4 linked regions of the Saccharomyces cerevisiae S288C genome follow. The protein of the gene in region 1 interacts with the protein of each later gene in a biochemical or structural test. Each region holds a gene or a part of one and is shown in the gene's direction. Other genes may lie near its edges.

What was found.
Region 2: the proteins of STE5 (region 1) and STE11 form a complex in vitro, tested with the Saccharomyces cerevisiae proteins (one study listed by BioGRID).
Region 3: the proteins of STE5 (region 1) and STE7 form a complex in vitro, tested with the Saccharomyces cerevisiae proteins (3 studies listed by BioGRID, with this or other methods).
Region 4: the proteins of STE5 (region 1) and KSS1 form a complex in vitro, tested with the Saccharomyces cerevisiae proteins (2 studies listed by BioGRID).

The regions. Positions count from the first base shown.
Region 1 is NC_001136.10:655,647-662,797, forward strand, and holds STE5 (Ste5p), read left to right. Parts: upstream 1-2,703; coding exon 2,704-5,457; downstream 5,458-7,151. Other genes in the region: ARX1 (putative hydrolase), read right to left, coding at 40-1,821; YDR102C (uncharacterized protein), read right to left, coding at 2,002-2,334; SPO71 (Spo71p), read right to left, coding at 5,527-7,151. UniProt on the Saccharomyces cerevisiae protein: Component of the pheromone signal transduction pathway. It mediates pheromone signals acting between STE20 and STE11. It is absolutely required for pheromone-induced transcription of FUS1. May play a role in cell-cycle arrest in response to pheromone.
Region 2 is NC_001144.5:847,957-852,519, forward strand, and holds STE11 (mitogen-activated protein kinase kinase kinase STE11), read left to right. Parts: upstream 1-1,909; coding exon 1,910-4,063; downstream 4,064-4,563. Other genes in the region: DCR2 (phosphoprotein phosphatase), read right to left, coding at 1-1,168; YLR361C-A (uncharacterized protein), read right to left, coding at 1,427-1,723; NMD4 (Nmd4p), read right to left, coding at 4,539-4,563. UniProt on the Saccharomyces cerevisiae protein: Serine/threonine protein kinase required for cell-type-specific transcription and signal transduction in yeast. It is thought that it phosphorylates the STE7 protein kinase which itself, phosphorylates the FUS3 and or KSS1 kinases.
Region 3 is NC_001136.10:169,608-175,367, forward strand, and holds STE7 (mitogen-activated protein kinase kinase STE7), read left to right. Parts: upstream 1-2,873; coding exon 2,874-4,421; downstream 4,422-5,760. Other genes in the region: MHF2 (Mhf2p), read right to left, coding at 1-1; DExD/H-box ATP-dependent RNA helicase DHH1, read right to left, coding at 803-2,323; YDL159W-A (uncharacterized protein), read left to right, coding at 2,575-2,706; DMO2 (Dmo2p), read right to left, coding at 4,625-4,981; CMR1 (Cmr1p), read left to right, coding at 5,311-5,760. UniProt on the Saccharomyces cerevisiae protein: Serine/threonine protein kinase required for cell-type-specific transcription and signal transduction in yeast. It is thought that it is phosphorylated by the ste11 protein kinase and that it can phosphorylate the FUS3 and or KSS1 kinases.
Region 4 is NC_001139.9:572,711-577,978, forward strand, and holds KSS1 (mitogen-activated serine/threonine-protein kinase KSS1), read left to right. Parts: upstream 1-2,687; coding exon 2,688-3,794; downstream 3,795-5,268. Other genes in the region: YGR039W (uncharacterized protein), read left to right, coding at 2,178-2,489; BUD9 (Bud9p), read left to right, coding at 4,777-5,268. UniProt on the Saccharomyces cerevisiae protein: Together with closely related FUS3, KSS1 is the final kinase in the signal transduction cascade regulating activation/repression of the mating and filamentation pathways, induced by pheromone and nitrogen/carbon limitation, respectively.

The DNA.
Region 1 (7,151 bases):
ATATTATTTATATACTAGCTTTAGAAATGATGAAGTTTCCTACATTTTCATGGTTTCTTCAACTCCGCCATTTGATGTCTCAACACTCTTCTGCTTCATTGGCTGCGTTTCCTTTAATAATAGACCGAACCTCTTATCCTTGGCCAAAGTAGCTAATTGAAAGATCCCTTGAACAATTGAATCTTGTGGATTTAATTCGTGCTGAGAGTGAATCCAGCTCGGTTGACAGGTCTTAGAACCACCAGTTAATCTCAATAATTCGGGTCTGTCCGTTGTACTTACACTAGAGTCACATAATACGATGGTATTACATTCACGAGCAACTGGTAAAGAAATCGATTCCTTGGTTGAATTCATTAAGGATTTAAGCTTGATGGCTGAAACACCCAATTTTGGTAAAGGTAACTCATGCCCAGGTAATGTTAATGTAGAGGTTGCATCATAACTTAAATTACCGTTTGGATTGGTAGCCTTTAAAATATGGTCCCATGGAACCCATCTAGCAATTTGTATTGGACTTTCCACACATAAGTAGTTGTTGGAAATCTCACTCATCCCAAGTCTAAATGATTTCAAATCTTTCTTTAAGCTTTGGAGTTCTTCTTCATTTTCGTGAACGAAAGGAAAGTTAGAAGATAAATGAGATAACTTGAATGGATAAACGCCTTGTTTATCGATTTTAGTTAATAATTGTCTAGAAGTTTTTAATTTAAGAATATGGGTTTGAGCAAAATCTCTAACATATGCACCGGGTCTTGCAATCAATTCTCCAGCCTTATGAGATTTACCTGTGTAAGAGTCAACGGTTTCTAAAGTTACTAAACCCTTTTTGGTACAATGCTCCAAAGATGCCATTTTCAAATCAATTAAATACACTTCACCTGATTGAACAACGAAATCATCACTTGGAATAGCAGAAACATTAGTGAATGGAGTCGATTGTCCACGATCTACCACTGTTAAATCCTTGGCATCAGTATTAGATAGCAAATCTGCTTCTTGATGGGACTCTGTCCAAACAACACCCTTATATTCCCTTTCGGCAACAATACCTTCGTTTTGGCCTGCCAGGAATCTTCTAATCCTTCTTACACGAGAACCAGGAACAACGCCACAGTTATAAGATCTGGCAATAGTATCCACTATAGTTCTAATCAATTGGCCTGTGATACCACTTGAAGTTCCTCCCAGTGAGGCAGGAAGCTTTTCTGGAGTCAGAGCACAGGCTAATAAAGCAACAACTGTTTCCATAGCAATGTGAGCAGCAGCTACAGCATCCGCTTTACCACCTAGTAGTGGCCCAGTGGGTTGAAGAATAGGTTTGGTTTCATCAACGGGGTAAATAACCATAGTATGAGAAACTTCAGAGGTGTAACCATCAATATGAACACCTAGTGTAATCTTGACTAAATCCCCCGGTCTCAAAGTCCCAGTGACAGATGATGCAAAAGTGGAGTCTTTCCCCTTATTCCAGTTTAACAAATTTTGAGTATCATCTATTTCGGGGCACCATCCACCAGAAATTTGGTCGATATCAATAGTGGTTGGAATGGCAATACCTCTTTCATTAACTTTGTTTTTATAATATTGTTCCAACCGGGTCAAAATAAAAGAATCGGTAAGCAAACATAGCTCTGGCACGGTTAATTGGCGCTGTGTGGTCTTAGAGTGATATGAATCATTGATCAAAGAAGTAACATATTTCAAAGCAGTTTGTGCGATTTGTCCAGCAGTTCTGTATTTGTTCAAGACCGATTCCTGTAGAATATTTTTGTCCTTTAGCAAAATCTGAGTATCCTCGTGGGAGATAGCTAGAGCCATGATAGTTTTAGCAATATTAGTCGGGTCGGGTTTTTTCTTAAAAGTATTTTGAATAACACGATGCTTTAGCTCATCTCATCTCTTCTGCTGAAATTTTTCTTTACTTCGGTAAAATTTTTTCAGAAAGCAAAAAAAGCTTCACAGAGGCATGACCCTCTCCGGGTAAAAAAAAGCTTAGGGTTACCGGCCTGTCATTTTTAGGGCATTATCAATTTTTTGCCATCTAGTTGCAACTATAATAATACAGTATGAATTGCACGAAAGAGCAGTCAATGTAAATTCACGAAGTGACTGACAGAATACTGACATCAGCTGATTTCTCATAGAGCTGTTTCTCTGATAACACGTTGTTTGAACATCGACAAGATGAAAATCTAGAAGTATCAAGTTTCCTTTAAAGGGATATATAACAGATTCTAAAACTGACAGAAATATTTCGAGTGAAGAAGAAGCGTTAAATATTGGATCTTTCCGCAGTTCTACTCTGATACATTTTTGAAGTAGGAGAGTCATTTAGAAGGCGTATTGCTCAATAGTAGAAAGCAGGCCTGTGCACATGAATTAATTAAAAAATATAAAGGTAGTGATTAGACGACACATGTCCATAGGTAACCTGTCATAATTTTGAACAATTTCCCTTCTTTTCTTTTTTTTTTTTGGGTGCGGCGATATGTAGCTTGTTAATTTACACATCATGTACTTTTCTGCATCAAAATATGAAAGGCGATAGTAGCTAAAGAAAATACCGAGAATTTCCTCGAAAAGTTGACGACAAAAGAAAGGCATAAAAAAGTAATTTGAAAATATTTTAAAACTGTTTTAACCCATCTAGCATCCGCGCTAAAAAAGGAAGATACAGGATACAGCGGAAACAACTTTTAAATGATGGAAACTCCTACAGACAATATAGTTTCCCCTTTTCACAATTTTGGTAGCTCGACACAATATAGTGGTACCTTGTCGAGAACTCCCAACCAAATAATAGAGCTAGAGAAGCCCAGTACTCTATCCCCATTGTCAAGAGGAAAAAAATGGACGGAAAAGTTAGCCAGGTTCCAAAGAAGTAGTGCTAAAAAGAAAAGATTCTCACCTTCTCCTATTTCCTCCTCTACATTTTCGTTCTCACCCAAATCTAGGGTCACTTCTTCAAACTCTTCTGGCAATGAAGACGGTAACCTAATGAATACACCTTCTACGGTTTCCACTGATTATTTGCCACAACACCCTCACAGAACATCGTCTTTGCCAAGACCTAATTCCAATCTCTTTCACGCAAGTAATAGTAACCTATCCCGAGCAAATGAGCCCCCAAGGGCCGAAAATTTATCAGATAATATACCACCCAAGGTCGCTCCATTTGGCTATCCAATACAAAGAACCTCTATTAAAAAATCCTTTTTGAATGCTTCTTGTACGTTATGTGACGAGCCTATTTCTAACAGAAGAAAGGGAGAGAAAATTATAGAGCTTGCATGTGGCCACTTAAGTCACCAAGAATGTCTTATTATCTCTTTTGGCACCACTTCAAAGGCAGACGTTCGTGCGCTATTTCCTTTTTGTACCAAATGTAAAAAAGATACTAACAAAGCCGTTCAATGCATTCCAGAAAATGATGAACTAAAGGATATTCTAATTTCTGATTTTTTGATTCATAAGATTCCTGATTCTGAGTTATCAATCACACCTCAGTCCCGCTTTCCTCCTTATTCACCACTCTTGCCTCCTTTTGGGTTATCCTATACACCTGTTGAAAGACAAACGATATATTCTCAAGCTCCAAGTCTAAACCCAAATCTCATATTGGCTGCACCCCCCAAGGAAAGAAACCAAATTCCACAAAAAAAATCAAACTATACATTTTTACATTCACCCCTGGGGCACAGAAGAATTCCGTCCGGAGCAAACTCTATCTTAGCAGACACCTCTGTAGCGTTGTCAGCTAATGATTCTATTTCTGCTGTTTCCAATTCGGTAAGAGCAAAGGATGACGAAACCAAAACAACGTTGCCGCTGTTAAGGTCATATTTTATTCAAATTCTTTTGAACAATTTCCAGGAAGAATTGCAGGATTGGAGAATAGACGGGGACTATGGATTACTAAGGTTGGTAGACAAATTGATGATTTCCAAAGATGGTCAGAGATATATACAATGCTGGTGTTTCTTATTTGAAGACGCATTTGTAATAGCAGAAGTGGATAACGATGTTGATGTTTTGGAAATTAGACTAAAGAATTTAGAAGTATTTACACCTATTGCCAACTTGAGAATGACTACACTCGAAGCTTCAGTACTCAAATGCACCTTAAATAAACAACATTGCGCCGATTTATCAGATCTTTACATTGTTCAGAATATAAATTCTGACGAAAGCACAACTGTACAGAAATGGATATCAGGTATATTGAATCAGGATTTTGTATTCAATGAGGACAATATCACTTCGACCCTGCCTATTCTTCCCATTATAAAGAACTTTTCAAAAGATGTTGGTAATGGTAGGCACGAGACGAGTACCTTTCTAGGTTTAATCAATCCTAACAAAGTTGTTGAAGTTGGAAATGTGCACGATAATGATACTGTAATCATAAGGAGGGGATTCACCTTAAATTCAGGAGAATGTTCTAGGCAGAGTACTGTCGACAGTATACAATCTGTTCTAACCACGATAAGCTCAATTCTTTCCCTTAAACGAGAAAAACCTGATAATTTGGCAATAATCTTACAGATCGATTTTACGAAATTGAAGGAAGAAGACAGTTTAATTGTTGTTTATAACAGTCTAAAAGCTTTAACCATTAAATTTGCGCGTTTGCAGTTTTGTTTCGTTGATCGAAATAATTATGTTCTGGACTATGGATCGGTATTACACAAGATAGATTCACTAGATTCCATCTCAAATCTCAAATCAAAGAGTTCCTCGACACAATTTTCACCTATTTGGTTGAAAAATACTCTATATCCCGAAAATATTCATGAACATTTGGGTATTGTTGCTGTATCAAATAGTAATATGGAAGCAAAAAAATCCATACTATTTCAAGATTACAGATGCTTTACAAGTTTTGGAAGAAGAAGGCCCAATGAATTGAAGATTAAGGTGGGCTATTTGAACGTTGACTACAGTGATAAAATTGATGAACTAGTCGAGGCCAGCTCCTGGACTTTTGTTTTAGAAACTCTTTGCTACAGTTTCGGTCTAAGTTTTGATGAACATGATGACGATGACGAAGAGGATAATGATGATTCGACCGATAATGAACTTGATAATAGTTCAGGATCACTGTCGGATGCTGAATCTACAACTACTATTCATATTGATTCTCCATTTGATAATGAAAATGCTACCGCAAATATGGTGAATGACAGAAACCTTCTCACTGAGGGTGAACATAGCAATATAGAAAACTTAGAAACTGTCGCTTCTTCAGTACAGCCAGCTCTGATTCCTAATATTAGATTTTCACTTCATTCTGAGGAGGAAGGTACTAATGAAAATGAAAATGAAAATGATATGCCAGTATTATTACTTAGTGATATGGATAAAGGAATCGATGGCATAACCAGACGCAGTTCATTCTCGAGTCTTATAGAGAGCGGTAATAACAACTGTCCCCTCCATATGGATTATATATAGAGTATACACTAAATTTTATGCAATAATAAAAAGAAAGCATCCCGCCAAACGTTTCGTAACTACATATTGTTACATAGTTTGATTCCGTGAATTTGAAGTGGACGCAGTTCTTCTTAGTCTTTCAAGTTCATAGTAAATAGACATTACCCAAAGATCTCTTTCCTGTCTTGATCTTGCCATGAAAACCATTGACTTGCCGCTCACACCTAACTTTTTAGTGAAATGGATCTTATCTGTGTTACTTGGAACATTAGAGTTATTCAAGTCAGCTTCCGGAGCAGAAGGTGGGTCAATATTATTATCTTGTCTACCATAATCTTGCGTATATTGCTTTTCATTCCCTTTCTTCTGTAAGCGATTGCTAGAAAGGGCACGCCTTGTTCCAAACCAAAGCGTAAAGCATCGCGAACTCTCGTCTTCTACAGATCGCCATCCGTCCCCATAAACTCGTGGGAGAGCGTGGGATCCATAGTTTATTTCGTCAAAAGTACGATCTCTCTGCAGAAGGTCTAGTTCTGTTGTGGTCCCAGAGTATAGGTAGCAATCGTCAATCGGAATGGTTACATAATGAGCATACTCCAAAACTTCCTTAGCAAAACCTGTGGTTGATCTATGAAAGCAGTGGAACAGTACAATAAAACCTGATATCAAAACGACGTAGTACTTCGAGAAAACAGAATGCTTGTGCGGCTTTTGATATAAAGGTCCCTTTTGAATTAACGGCCTACTTAATGATATTCCATTTGCATTAAAGGTTTGCTCATCTGCACGCCCATGTTCTACGATCCAGCGCAATGTATTCTCACCAATTTTTGTTTCCTCTTCTCCATTTAGCATCAAAAGACCTGCATTTGAACGCCTTATTTTTAAAAGCCTCTCCGTATCTTCCCTTTGCTTGTTTTTCCAATAGGATATCATTTGTTTCAGCTTTATGACCCACTCTTCAGCAACTGTTGCTGATGTAGCAAGCAGCTTCAAGAGGAGTCCATTTGAGGTTTCTATATTTATTACGGACCGTGAAACATCATCAATCTCGTAGTTTCTATGCCAAAAGATTTCACTAGCTTCCTTGTAAACCCCATATTTTATTTTGTCTGCTTCGTAATCAGTCCTTGTTCCTTGATATATATCTTTCACCTCAGTTAGGTCAATCACATTGTCCGTTTTTAGTATTTGATCAATCCTTCTATGAAAACAATGGAAAGCATAGAAATCTCTGGAATCATATTCACTTTGGGTCGTTTGACAGTTCATCCACTCGATGTGATCATTTGTGTCTAAGGGATAAGGTTGTTGCTCGTAAACCTCTGGAATTTTCTTCCACTGTTTCCAAATTTCTTCTTTTTCTATTTCTGTGCTAGTGTCGTCAATCATCGAATCTATAGGCAATGGTGGGTTTGCTCTATATGCTTTCATCGAAAAAAGCAAATTCTCACACGTGAAGAAGTAAGCTGTTGAAATACTATATTTACCAAAATTTGTCCTCGCAGAGCCATACTTGTCAGTCAATCTTATTAAAAAACCTTCAATAGGTGTTGGTTCTTTCAGACATTTTCCTTCTAAAGATTTTGTTTCCCTTAAACGATTCGCAATTGGCCTGTACTGGATTAGGTGAGATTGACAAAATGCAAAAATTCCAGTTACCAGAGAATCTTCATCACATGGAATCCACTCCAATCTATCATATCTTTTCA
Region 2 (4,563 bases), on another chromosome or scaffold:
CTTCTGTATCATTGTTCGAAAAAATCTGATAAATATAATTACCAACGCCAAACGTATTATCGTGTGTATCATGGGGACTAAACTTGAAAAGGGAATATGGTAGTACTGAAGCTATTTCGGATAACTGCCAGCGCGTTAAGCTTCCCTCGTCGTCGTGATTTCCCCATACCATTGCCCACGGAATTTTTCTTGCAATGACGGGTGCTACCGCCTTTAATAATACGGTTTCAGAGTCTTGAATAGATCTATCACCCATGATTTGGTCACCAGTAAAAACAACCAACTGCGGTTTTTCAATGTCAAGAACTTGTTGAACGAAAGTTTCCGTTTTTGGATCTGCCTTGCAAGCTTCATGCTTTGGATACTCATCGATACATTCAGACTCCCCCACACCCAAGTGGAGATCCGCCAACTGAACAATTTTGAACTTTCCTTCATCAGTTTCTTGCAGCCGTTGAGCTCCTGTGTCTACAGGACGAGTACCAACGAATTTGTAAGTCAAATAAGCAGGTTCGCTGTAGCGGTATTTTACTAAGGGAAATTCTTTTTGAAGAGTCCAATTTGCTATCGGCTGGATGCAATCAACACCAAAGAGAATGTTAATATCGCTTATGTAGCTCCTTTTCTGCAATAGTTCTATGCTAATAGGCTCGAATGTGATGGATACATCCATAAAGGGTAGCGATTTGTCTTTAGGATATTTGGAAATTCCAGTTACTGCCTCAACATTTAGCTTTTCTAGGTTGGATCCAAAGTAGTCCACCAAAGCAGGGTATAACACATCATAGTAAAGGTATTCTGACTTTCCAAACCACCTGCGTCCAAAGGAACCTCTCAAGTCTTTATGAATTCTTTTCCTTTGTAAGTATTGGTGCCCATCAGTTAAAGTTGATTTAAGTTCATGCCGATTAAAACATCCTTCATAAAAACGACCAATATGAAAACATTCGTCATAGCCTATATTTACAACTAGCTTATCGTCATTTGAGAATCCCTCTAGACCTTTATTTTGGAACCATAGATTATCAACGTGTGATATCGGGAGTGCAAGGTCGAAACCAATGTGCTCTTCAACTCTTGGCGCCTGTAGGAAGTAAAATAGGGCAATCACTACAAAAACTACCAAGTATAATAGGTACCTTTGATACAGCCTCGGTAACCGGATCATGTTAAGATTTTTAACCACGGTGCTGGTCTTCGATACTTAAGTATAAAACTTGTATCAGAGGTATCTGCGATCTAAAAAGATTAATTTTTGAAAAAGATCAACACTAAACCATTTGAAATTCAAAAAGCACCTAAGGCAAAATATAAATCTAAATATACGTAAAATGGAAACACTTTCTGCGCAGCTTTATACAAGTTAGCCTTCTAGCTTATGAAATAGAAATGAAATATAACTGAGCAAGTCCTATATACAATACTATTAATGATCTTCTTGTCCATGAGACTGTTCATGGTGCCTTTTAGAGACTTCTTCATCACTTATCTGAGGCCTGTGGCCACCCGTTCTCAATAAACCACCGGCAGTATCTTCAACTGGAAATCTTGCACTGGGTCTTACGCAATGGGGCTTGCGTAACTGTTCAAAATCCATGATTTTAGTTTTCCCTCCCCCTTTTAAAGTAATCTTTGGATTCTCGCCCAACTTTTCCTCCACTTCTTTTATATTTTGGGTGCGTTCTTTACTATTATTATTATTATTATTATTACTAACTGCCATTATAGTTTCTTTATGCTGTCCTCACCATGCCTTTCGTTATCAGGCTAGCATTAAAAGCCTTTTAAGGTGTAAAGCTTTCGCCGCGATGGCTTTAAACAGTAGAAAATATTCATATTTACACACATGCATAAAGAGAGACCACTTAATAAAGCTAGTATGATAAGATCACCGGTAGACGAAATATACATGGAACAGACACAAACAGCAGAGGGCACTGACTTACTAATTGGTGACGAAAAGACCAACGATTTACCTTTTGTGCAGTTATTTCTGGAGGAAATAGGATGCACTCAATACCTGGATAGCTTTATTCAGTGCAACCTTGTCACAGAAGAAGAAATTAAGTATCTCGACAAGGATATCCTCATTGCTTTGGGTGTAAACAAAATAGGAGACAGACTCAAAATTTTAAGGAAGTCAAAATCGTTCCAGAGAGATAAACGGATTGAACAGGTGAATAGATTGAAAAACCTGATGGAAAAAGTAAGCTCTCTATCCACTGCTACGCTATCGATGAATTCAGAATTGATTCCTGAAAAGCACTGTGTTATATTTATCTTAAACGATGGTTCCGCTAAGAAAGTTAATGTAAATGGTTGCTTTAATGCAGATTCTATTAAGAAAAGGCTAATCAGAAGATTGCCACATGAATTATTAGCCACAAACTCCAATGGAGAAGTAACTAAAATGGTCCAAGATTATGATGTGTTTGTCTTAGATTATACCAAGAACGTACTGCATTTGCTATATGACGTGGAATTAGTCACTATTTGCCACGCAAATGATCGTGTTGAGAAAAATAGGCTAATTTTTGTTTCCAAAGACCAAACACCAAGTGATAAAGCTATATCCACATCCAAAAAACTATATCTAAGAACGTTGAGTGCATTGAGCCAGGTTGGGCCATCCTCGTCAAATTTGTTGGCACAGAACAAGGGGATTTCGCATAACAATGCTGAAGGGAAACTCCGGATCGACAACACAGAAAAGGACAGAATTAGACAGATTTTTAATCAGAGGCCTCCTAGCGAATTTATTTCTACCAATTTGGCCGGATATTTTCCTCATACAGACATGAAGCGGTTGCAAAAGACGATGAGAGAGTCATTTCGCCATTCAGCAAGGCTAAGCATTGCTCAAAGAAGACCTTTAAGTGCAGAATCAAATAATATCGGTGACATACTATTGAAACACTCAAACGCTGTTGATATGGCCCTATTACAAGGATTAGATCAGACAAGATTAAGCAGTAAACTTGACACAACTAAAATTCCGAAGCTTGCCCATAAAAGGCCAGAAGATAATGATGCCATATCTAACCAGTTAGAACTATTAAGTGTAGAGTCTGGTGAAGAAGAAGATCACGATTTCTTTGGGGAGGACAGTGACATTGTTTCATTACCGACGAAAATTGCCACGCCCAAGAATTGGTTAAAAGGTGCTTGCATTGGATCAGGCAGTTTTGGGAGTGTTTACTTGGGCATGAATGCTCACACTGGTGAACTAATGGCAGTAAAGCAAGTGGAGATAAAAAATAATAACATTGGTGTTCCCACAGACAACAATAAACAAGCCAATTCTGATGAGAATAATGAGCAGGAGGAACAACAAGAGAAAATAGAAGATGTTGGGGCGGTAAGTCATCCAAAAACCAATCAAAATATTCACAGAAAGATGGTTGATGCTTTACAGCATGAAATGAATTTATTGAAGGAGTTACATCATGAGAACATTGTTACTTATTATGGTGCTTCTCAAGAAGGCGGAAATTTAAATATTTTTCTTGAATACGTTCCTGGGGGTTCGGTTTCCTCCATGCTGAATAATTACGGTCCATTTGAGGAATCACTGATTACTAATTTCACTAGGCAAATACTGATTGGGGTTGCGTATTTGCATAAGAAGAACATTATTCACAGAGATATCAAGGGTGCAAATATTTTGATTGATATCAAAGGTTGCGTAAAAATTACTGATTTTGGTATTTCAAAAAAATTATCACCTTTGAATAAAAAACAAAATAAGAGAGCTTCTTTGCAAGGTTCCGTATTCTGGATGTCACCAGAGGTGGTCAAACAGACCGCTACTACTGCTAAAGCGGATATATGGTCTACAGGATGTGTTGTCATTGAAATGTTTACCGGTAAGCATCCTTTCCCAGATTTTTCTCAAATGCAAGCGATCTTCAAAATAGGCACAAACACGACCCCCGAGATACCTTCCTGGGCTACGTCAGAAGGAAAGAATTTCTTAAGAAAGGCATTTGAGTTGGATTATCAATACAGGCCTAGTGCCCTTGAATTGCTGCAGCATCCATGGCTGGATGCACACATAATTTGAAAAAGGGCTACTTATTAATTCTTTTTATGGCACTAAAGTGCTCTGGCCGATTTTTTATCAAATAATACATATATATCATATTTAGTGACATTTATTGAATATATCTGCTATTTACCGGTTTTTTTTTTTCAATTACGCTGATTAAGTAATCATAAATCACAATTGTGAAAAAAAGACCAAACTAGATGACGGTATTTGATTCTCATACCCCTGGAATAAAATCAAGTAAGATAATTCTGATAAAAAAATCCGACCGCACAGATGGAAGCACGAAGAAACAGGCCTTTCTTTGCGAGGTGATATCAAACCATTGATATCTTCTCAATAACCTGCTCTAGGAAAAGGAGGTAGATAGACAAAAGCAAGGAAATAATCCATAGAGTTTCATTCACATGAATAATCTGTTACCAATTTTTCTCATAAGATAAAGCCATCTATCAAAAATGATATTGAAATATTTGAAAAATGCTTGTTTTTATGGGGACCACAATTCGCCTGTA
Region 3 (5,760 bases), 490 kb from region 1:
TCACCACAATTACTGTGCTCTGTACTCATGTCCTTTCTAAGTGCAATAATGTAAATTCTAACACGCTTTTATGTATGATTGATTTTTGATATTTTGGCCCGAAAGATAATTCTGGTCTCCCGGAAACATGAAGATGCAGCAAAGTAAAAAATAATAGGTAAAAATAATAAAAATACATGTATCTTTTTGGTTGGTTAATTTATCTAAACAGTTTTATATATATATGTATATATATATATATATATACACAGTATTAATATTCTTTCCTTGAGATTACTCTCTATAAAAAAAAAAAAAAAAAAGCTTTTAAAAAAAAAAAAACTCAAAAAAAGAAAGAATATTCAAAGAAAGTTTCATCTTGTCAGTTGAAATGAATAGTTTATTGTGGAAATTATAACAATAAAAGTTAGCTAAAAGCGAAAGTGTCGATGAAACTGGGCAAGTGCACTTGAGCTCTTGATATGGACGGTAGTATTGGTTACAACAATGACTGGTAAAAGAATGAAGTGGTTTGAGATAATTTTAGAGAAACAAAAAGAAATAACAAAGTGATAGTAATAAAAACGGTGCGCAAATGAGGATAAAAAAATCAGCACAGAAACTAGAGAAAACGGATAAAAAAATAAAAAAGCAGAGACAAAAATTAAATTACGACTGATTCTTGTTCAAAATCAATAGTAAAAGTATGGTTACAAAGTAATGTAATTCACAATGGAGATTTGAAAAAAGATAAAAATAATCGACGATTAGATCACAAAAAAAGCGTATCTCACCACAGTAGTTATTTTTTCTTAGATATTCTTTAATACTGGGGTTGTGACTGACCAGGTGGCATCGCCATGAAATGTTCCTGCTGTGGAGGATACCCCTGCTGCGATGGCATTTGCGGTGGAGGATACGCCTGTTGTTGCTGATGCGAAGGAGGAACCATGAATTGTGGATGATGTTGCTGCGGAGGAATAGCAAATTGTTGCTGAGATGGTAATTGTTGCTGAGGTATCGCTTGTTGATGATAGCTCTGTTGCTCTATCGGGAATGGGACAGGTACCGTTTCGTCATTTTCAGCCACATACAATGACTTATCGATAGTGGCCGGAATAGCCGCAATTTCAGTGCCCAGTTCTTGTTCGATTTTATAAAGGTTAAACCGATCATTCCAGTTAATCAAATTGATTGCTAAACCCAAGTGGCCAAACCTACCGGATCTACCAATACGATGTAAATATGTTTCTGCCGTTTTGGGGAAATCGAAATTGATAACGACATTAACGGCTTGAATATCGATACCACGGGTCAATAAATCGGAGCAGACCAATGTACGAACCTTACCTTGACGAAATTCGTGGAAAACTTTATTTCTTTCTTGTTGCTTCATTCTTGCATGAGAGTAATAACAGGAATAGCCTAAATCAGTGATTTTCTTGGCTAGTAATTCGACACGGTTAGTAGAATTACAAAAAATAATGGCTTGATTAATTTGAAGCTTAGAGAATAAAGTATTTAAACAATGTAGCTTTTGTCTTTCTTCAACAAAGGCGTAGTATTGAGTAATACCCTTTAGAGTCAATTCTTCCATCAAATTAATTTCATAAGGCTTATGCAGATGTTTAACCATGAATTCCTTAACCGTTAGTGGGAAAGTAGCGCTAAATAATAAAGATTGGTGAGTTGGAGGTAAGAAGGATAAGATTTGTTCAATTATTGTCTTGAAGTCACGAGATAACATTTTATCGGCTTCGTCCATGATGAATAATGAACAATCAGACAGATCTGCTACTTTTCTCGAAGCTAAATCCAACACTCTACCAGGAGTACCAACCAAAATATGGACTGTTTCATTTAATCTTAGAATATCGTCTCTCAAATTGGTACCACCAGTGGTCACCATACATGAAATACCACAGTGTTTTCCCAATGTACGGACGACTTGGGAAGTTTGCAGAGCTAACTCTCTTGTGGGAACCATGATCAAAGCCTGAATTTTATTCAACTTTGGTTTGACTTTCTCTAACGTAGGAATAACAAATGCGGCTGTCTTACCTGTACCATTCTTTGCTCTGGCCAATATGTCTCTACCAGTTATTGCTACCGGAATAGCCTCTTCTTGAATAGGGGATGGTTTTTCAAAACCGGCTTCAAAAATACCCATTAACAGCTCTCTTTTCAAATAAAAATCTTCAAAAGTATTACCCTTTGTATTTAAGACATCATCTGTCTGTGGTCTGGTATCCTTCTTGGGAATATTCAATGCAGTTTTCCAGTCCCGATCGAGATCCGTATTACTGTTATTATTAGTGTTGAAGTTATTATTGATGGAACCCATTACTACTATTTTCTTTCTTGTCGTATTTTAGGCCTGGGATAAGTTATTATGCGAATGGCGATGCGGTTATGAAGAAATAAAAGGGCTAAAAGTAAGAATTTTCTGCGTCTATCTTTCTATTAGGAATAAAATATGACTATATTTACTATTATTGTTGTTTTGTCGTACAATCCTTTATGAATGAAAATATTAAGCTTGTGGTCTTAAAAGAATGTGGATGAAACAAAACTGAATCCAATGATGAGAAATAAATGTACAATCAGATAATAAACACTTTTATTGATGATTGTCTTTTCTTGCAAACCCCAATGTTACAATCGCCCATTAGTTCTAAGATTGTGTTGTCCTTTTTCTTACGAAATTTTTTTCCCTCCCTTTTTTGATCACTGTCCTCGTTATAAGTGATTCGTGGGGTAACGGCGATATCATACTATTATTGGCCCATCTGATGGATTAGAAGACCTACAGGTTAATGTGAAGCGACACTAATGATAAGAAAACTGCATCGGATCATATCTGTTTTTGCAGCGTGGTATATTGGTTGTTGGTCATGTTTCAACGAAAGACTTTACAGAGAAGGAACTTGAAAGGGCTCAATCTTAACCTGCACCCAGATGTGGGCAATAATGGCCAATTGCAGGAAAAGACAGAGACTCACCAGGGACAATCTCGAATAGAAGGCCACGTGATGTCTAACATTAATGCAATACAGAATAATAGCAACCTGTTTTTGCGAAGAGGCATAAAAAAAAAACTGACGTTGGATGCGTTTGGTGATGACCAAGCTATATCGAAACCAAACACTGTGGTAATACAGCAACCGCAAAATGAACCTGTTTTAGTTCTGTCTTCTCTATCACAATCCCCGTGTGTATCATCATCATCATCTTTGTCCACGCCATGCATTATAGATGCGTACAGTAATAATTTCGGATTATCGCCATCATCCACGAATTCTACTCCCTCTACGATTCAGGGATTGTCCAATATTGCAACACCAGTTGAAAACGAACATTCGATATCACTACCACCTTTGGAGGAAAGCCTATCGCCAGCCGCAGCAGATCTGAAAGATACGTTGTCGGGAACTTCAAATGGTAATTATATACAACTCCAGGACTTGGTTCAGTTGGGGAAAATTGGTGCTGGAAATTCTGGAACTGTGGTGAAGGCACTACATGTTCCTGATTCCAAAATAGTTGCCAAAAAAACCATTCCTGTGGAACAGAATAACAGTACAATCATCAACCAATTAGTTAGGGAATTATCTATCGTCAAAAACGTTAAGCCCCATGAAAACATTATCACCTTCTATGGAGCTTATTATAACCAGCATATAAATAATGAAATCATAATTTTAATGGAATACTCTGATTGTGGTTCTTTAGATAAAATACTGTCCGTTTATAAAAGGTTTGTTCAAAGAGGGACTGTTTCGAGTAAGAAAACCTGGTTCAACGAATTAACAATATCAAAAATAGCGTATGGCGTACTAAATGGCTTGGATCATTTGTACCGACAATATAAGATCATTCATCGTGATATCAAGCCTTCCAATGTTCTGATTAATAGTAAGGGGCAGATTAAGTTATGTGATTTTGGAGTTTCCAAAAAACTAATAAATTCTATCGCTGATACATTTGTTGGAACGTCCACTTATATGTCACCAGAGAGGATACAAGGAAACGTTTATTCTATCAAAGGGGACGTTTGGTCATTGGGCTTAATGATCATCGAGCTGGTAACTGGAGAGTTTCCCCTAGGTGGGCATAACGATACACCTGATGGCATATTGGATTTGCTGCAACGTATTGTCAACGAGCCTTCACCAAGATTACCCAAAGACCGTATCTATTCCAAGGAAATGACAGATTTTGTCAATAGGTGTTGTATTAAGAATGAAAGGGAAAGGTCATCGATTCATGAATTGCTACATCATGATCTTATAATGAAATACGTATCACCGTCTAAAGATGATAAATTTAGACATTGGTGTAGAAAAATAAAATCTAAAATAAAGGAAGACAAGAGAATTAAAAGAGAAGCCTTGGACCGTGCCAAGTTAGAAAAGAAACAATCGGAAAGATCAACCCATTGAATGCATGCGATAACATTAGTTAGGAACATATTGCACTTTTTTTCACATCCCTTTCTCAAAGCTATATTCATATATATATAGACTCTCCTGATTATGTAAATCACAAACCAATTTTCTAATGTAACAATATTTTTAAAAATAATCATCAAAGTAGCACTTTATGTACAGAAAATTTCACGATTGAGAGAAGCTTGCGAATAATACTAGTTAGCCTGTGTTTCACCATCGTTACTTAATTTCTTATAGTTCTTATATTCTTTATTTTTATGCCACAACCAACCTTCGGTTCCTCTAACGAAACCGAAGGCGATTAATAACCCACCGAAGCTACGTAAAGTTACTTTCCACCATTGTGGGTTTCTTTTTTCAAATTCAGTCAGAGAAATGCCTCTTTTGGCTTCTTTTTTACCATACTTGAATGGTTTCCCAGATGCCAAGTATGAGCCAAATCCAACAGAAAACATAGTGCTCATGACTTGACAAGGAACGCAATCCATAGTCTCTTCTTTTTCCAGCTCCCTTTGTGGTGGAGGGTTGAACACTGCCAAAATATTACTCATTGTTTTTCACCACTTGCTGTTTCTCTCTAAGCGGTGTTTTGTTTCCTACTTGGTGGCACACAATGACTGTACTCGCTTTATATGCTCGTACCTTTTTTCAAAAGCCCATCGTTAATTTTTCACCCGAGGACCCCATATTACGCGTTTTTTGTTAATGTTCAATTTCTGACATGTTACAATTATAATAACGCCAAAAGAGGTAAATGTATATTTGAACAATTGTTAAAGAGAAGATAAAAACCCTTTAATCTTGCATTTGTCGTCAATAGTACACAATAGGCGATCTATTTTAGTACGGCAATTAAAAGAAAGCTGCTTTTCAGTCAAGAATGCCGGAATTAACAGAATTTCAGAAAAAACGTTTAGAGAACATCAAAAGGAATAACGATTTATTGAAAAAACTCCATTTGTCTGGAGTAGCATCTCAAATTAAGCACGAGGCTGGGGTGTTGGAAAAATCTAGAGCTCCTGCAAAAAAGAAACAAAAAACAACTAATACCAGAGCAACCAAGTCTGCGAGTCCCACTTTACCTACACGAAGATCAAGAAGGCTAAGGGGTGAGTCTGCAGACGATGTGAAAGGAATACCCAATGTGAACGATAATCAGTTGCTTAAAATGGGTTCTCCAGATGGCCAGGATAAGAATTTTATAGACGCAATAAAGGAGAAACCTGTAATAGGAGATGTGAAATTAAGTGATCTGATCAAGGATGAAGACGAAAGTGCCCTTTTAGAGAAATTCAAGAGGTTTAATAACGGAAACTTTTCTTCTGGTGAT
Region 4 (5,268 bases), on another chromosome or scaffold:
GTATTTTTTAGATAACCAGTAAAAGTCTCCATGTTTGACTATGGGAGCTAGTACTGTACCATCCGATCTTTCTAAAGTGTTTCTGGTAAAGCAGGCAGTAATATTTTGATTAGCCAGCTCACTCAAACTTAATAGATCATAGGCTATGTTTGGTGTGTGTAGTGCTTTTATTGATGTTTTGGTGCCGTTCTGAAAGTTGAAGTGAAGATTACCAATGGCATTTATAGGAATGTCTTGTTTTTGAGCATCGACTATGTTTATTTCAGAATTGGGTGTTGCATGGTGTAAATAATGGGCTGATCTGACAAGCGTTTGCGAAGCTCCTGAATCAATAAGAAGGTGATCAGGTAGTTCGTCATTCGAGTCTATTGTGTGTGTTGGCTTAGATTCTTTCTGTTGCTGGCCTAAGACTAAGTTCGTCGTCATCGCTTAAGTATTGTGATGAAACGGTTGATTCATTAATGTGATCATTGTTCACCCTTGAGAATTTACTAGATGTAGCAATATTGTGAGCTTTTGCTGCTCTTGGTTTTGAACTATTTGTTCTATGATAATTACGAGTTGTAACCTTTGTGTTAGTCGTGTTTGGAGATGTGCGAGAAACATTTTTGTATTCGCTGTGTTGTTTGTATTGGGACGGTTTATTTAGATTCATGATTTTATTTTCGTCATATATTAATTGAATTTCAGCGAATAATTGGGAAAGTTTCATGTTCGTTTTGGTACGATATTGATTACGTAGGTATTTGAAGTCACCGGATAGACCTTTAAGTATTAGTTGACAGGCCAATCTGTCGCTAACATTGATATTGTTTTCTTTTAGCCTCTGAATGATCGTACTGACTGTAATTTCAAATGTATCAGCAGATGTACTTCCGTCGTACTCAAGGTTGGCAAGAGCTATCCAATCCTTTAATTCTTGATTGTTAGTTTGCATTTTGGACACACTTTTACAAAGGACTGTAAGGATGTCAGCATAATTAATTTCTAAAATTTGTTTTACCCATGTTGGCAATAAATGAAATGGGGCAAATGCTTGGAAGGTATTGTATATATACGCATGTTCTTCATAAGTCATTTGTCTTTTGATTTCACCCTGGTCATTTGGAATGATGTCACCGAGATTAGAGTTCTTCAAAAATCTGATGTAAAATTTAACCCATGTAGAAAAGTTTTCTTCTGATGTTAAAGTGTGTGGTGGTAAGACGTTATTTCCCACCTTTGTCTTAGCTTGAGGTATTTCAGAGTGTTGATTTTTTAAATCGATTGGATCAGGTGAGGAAGTACTCAGTGGTGGGATATACTGTGGCAACGGATAGTGTGGGTCCGGTTGATAATACGCAGGTGACGTTTGATAATGTGAACACGTCATCATAGATGGTTGTTGGTAATGTGCCCAGTTAGAGGCCATAGCTTTGTTTGGGGTCATCATGCCGTGCTGTTGGTACTGTCCATTCTGTGGAGGTGGTACTGAAGCAGGTTGAGGAGAGACATGATGATGGTTCTCTGGAACAGCTGATGTCCCAGGTGTTGTCTCTTGTTGAGAATTAACCTTAGTGGAATCTCTATCAAATTCCGGTAAATTGGAAGCTGAAACGGCTAACGGATCTTGATTTTATGGGACTTCCTTAGAAGTAACCGAAGCATAGGCGCTACCATGAAGAGAATGTGGATTTTGATGTAATTGTTGGGATTCCATTTTTTATAAGGCGATAATATTAGGTATGTAGATATACTAGAAGTTCTCCTCGAGGATTTAGGAATCCATAAAAGGGAATCTGCAATTCTACACAATTCTATAAATATTATTATCATCATTTTATATGTTAATATTCATTGATCCTATTACATTATCAATCCTTGCGTTTCAGCTTCCACTAATTTAGATGACTATTTTTCATCATTTGCGTCATCTTCTAACACCGTATATGATAATATACTAGTAACGTAAATACTAGTTAGTAGATGATAGTTGATTTTTATTCCAACAGTATTTATGTTTTGTCATTCTTTTCTACATAATCTTGAAACTAGGTAGATCTACAATTGAAAAGTAAATACTAACATTATTTACTAAATTTAAGTTAGAAATCGGCACGAAAAAAATTTGACAGATTACGAGAGTCCAGCCAAAATATGAGTATATTACTATTTCCCCTTGGTGAAAGAAATGAAAGATGTTATTTTTTACCGGCTTAGTAATACTGAGCTACTTACTTGGGGGAAAGAAAGATTGGCTACTTATTATGTATGAAGCCTCAGATTACCTTGAATTCCTCAACCGTTTGAGCAGTATGCTCTTCAAATTCGAACTTTTTGAACATCTTTCCTCCACATTCCTGATTTTTTCACATTCAAAACGCGCTGTGAAGCTGTTAGAAATTTACAGATCGAGGCATATTTCTATATATAATGTATTTTTATTAAGACACCCAAAGTACTTCCAATCTGTAGATATTGCACTTTATCTGACCAGAAGCCAGACTTGAACAGTTACATATTGTGCTTTGCAGTCGTTAAATTTCCCGAACTGTTTTCGTATTTTTTTTTCTTTTCCTCTTTTCCACTGGATCAGATCAAAAGCCGACTAAAAATTTGGCAATTTAAAGAAAGCATCTTTTAAAGATAGAAAAGGTTATTTCAACAAAAAAGTATCTTTTCTTCACTTTTCTTTCAACAATTCAAAGATGGCTAGAACCATAACTTTTGATATCCCTTCCCAATATAAACTCGTAGATTTAATAGGTGAGGGAGCGTACGGAACAGTATGTTCAGCAATTCATAAGCCTTCCGGCATAAAGGTAGCTATCAAGAAAATACAACCGTTTAGCAAAAAATTGTTTGTTACAAGAACTATACGTGAGATCAAGCTTTTACGGTATTTCCATGAACACGAAAACATAATAAGTATATTGGATAAAGTAAGGCCAGTATCCATAGACAAACTAAACGCTGTTTATTTAGTCGAAGAGTTGATGGAAACCGATTTACAAAAAGTAATTAATAATCAGAATAGCGGGTTTTCCACTTTAAGTGATGACCATGTTCAATACTTTACATACCAAATCCTCAGAGCCTTAAAGTCTATTCACAGTGCACAAGTTATCCATAGAGACATAAAGCCATCAAACCTGTTACTAAATTCCAATTGTGATCTCAAAGTCTGCGATTTTGGACTAGCGAGGTGTTTAGCTAGCAGTAGCGATTCAAGAGAAACATTGGTAGGATTCATGACGGAGTACGTCGCAACGCGATGGTACAGGGCACCCGAGATAATGCTAACTTTTCAAGAGTACACAACTGCGATGGATATATGGTCATGCGGATGCATTTTGGCTGAAATGGTCTCCGGGAAGCCTTTGTTCCCAGGCAGAGACTATCATCATCAATTATGGCTAATTCTAGAAGTCTTGGGAACTCCATCTTTCGAAGACTTTAATCAGATCAAATCCAAGAGGGCTAAAGAGTATATAGCAAACTTACCTATGAGGCCACCCTTGCCATGGGAGACCGTCTGGTCAAAGACCGATCTGAATCCAGATATGATAGATTTACTAGACAAAATGCTTCAATTCAATCCTGACAAAAGAATAAGCGCAGCAGAAGCTTTAAGACACCCTTACCTGGCAATGTACCATGACCCAAGTGATGAGCCGGAATATCCTCCACTTAATTTGGATGATGAATTTTGGAAACTGGATAACAAGATAATGCGTCCGGAAGAGGAGGAAGAAGTGCCCATAGAAATGCTCAAAGACATGCTTTACGATGAACTAATGAAGACCATGGAATAGTATTCACAAGAACATTTCTGCCATACTTCTAAAATTTCCCTATATTCAGCTTAGCAGTGACACGTTGTGGTCTGTAGGTCAATATGTAAGTAAGAAACTTCAACTCACATATGCACGATGCATGCCAATGGAAAAATGCAAGGAACGAAATGGCGCCACGGCAACAAGTTTTTTTTTTTCGCCAGCAGAAGTACACGAAATGCGGCTTCATGAGCCTCTTCACTGCTTTGCCTAAACGGGAAATGCAGAGAAAAACCAGCCATCGCGTGTGCTTGGAGAGCTGACGCGACTGTAATCAAAGAGGCGATATCAACACCTTTTATCCAGCACTATTCAACAGTGAATGGGCTCCCAAGTAAGTCTTGGCATTGTGCTTTCTATTCTTAAGTATTAAGTAGAAGTTTTGTTTACTGGGTTTGTTTATTCCTGGCTAGATGTTCGCATTCGTTTTCTAGTTGACCATATTTACCAAATATTCACAACTAATACCCAGCCAAGGTAGTCTAAAAGCTAATTTCTCTAAAAGGGAGAAAGTTGGTGATTTTTTATCTCGCATTATTATATATGCAAGAATAGTTAAGGTATAGTTATAAAGTTTTATCTTAATTGCCACATACGTACATTGACACGTAGAAGGACTCCATTATTTTTTTCATTCTAGCATACTATTATTCCTTGTAACGTCCCAGAGTATTCCATTTAATTGTCCTCCATTTCTTAACGGTGACGAAGGATCACCATACAACAACTACTAAAGATTATAGTACACTCTCACCTTGCAACTATTTATCTGACATTTGCCTTACTTTTATCTCCAGCTTCCCCTCGATTTTATTTTTCAATTTGATTTCTAAAGCTTTTTGCTTAGGCATACCAAACCATCCACTCATTTAACACCTTATTTTTTTTTTCGAAGACAGCATCCAACTTTATACGTTCACTACCTTTTTTTTTACAACAATTTCATTCTTCATCCTATGAAATGACGAAAATAACCAGAGATGTTTCGATAACGACAGAAAATTCAAAATCCACATCTGGATCGGCAACGGCTTCATCCGCATCTTTACCTGAGAACGACCACCCAATATTCCATCAACCGCGAGCAAGAATAAGATCTGGTTCGCTGTTCATCGAAGGATCTGATTCATTTCCATCATCAGAAGTGAAGTCATACAATGTTTATATTGATGATAGCAAGTATAGTGAAATCCTCAAAGGAGATACAAATTCAAGTAGTACTGATGGTAAACAAGTCTTTGAAGATGCTAGAGATGACAATTTCCATCAGGAATCACATAGAGATCTAGAGGATTCAATTTTAGATTTAGTACGACGAGATCCAGAAGTAGCAGCATTCCCTTTACCTCCGCCAAATTCAAATGAGAGGAACAGAAATTCCTCAAACGGGTCTTCCGCTGAAACTAACCTAAATGGACACAGCAGCAGCGGTACCATCTCTACTTCGGTGCTG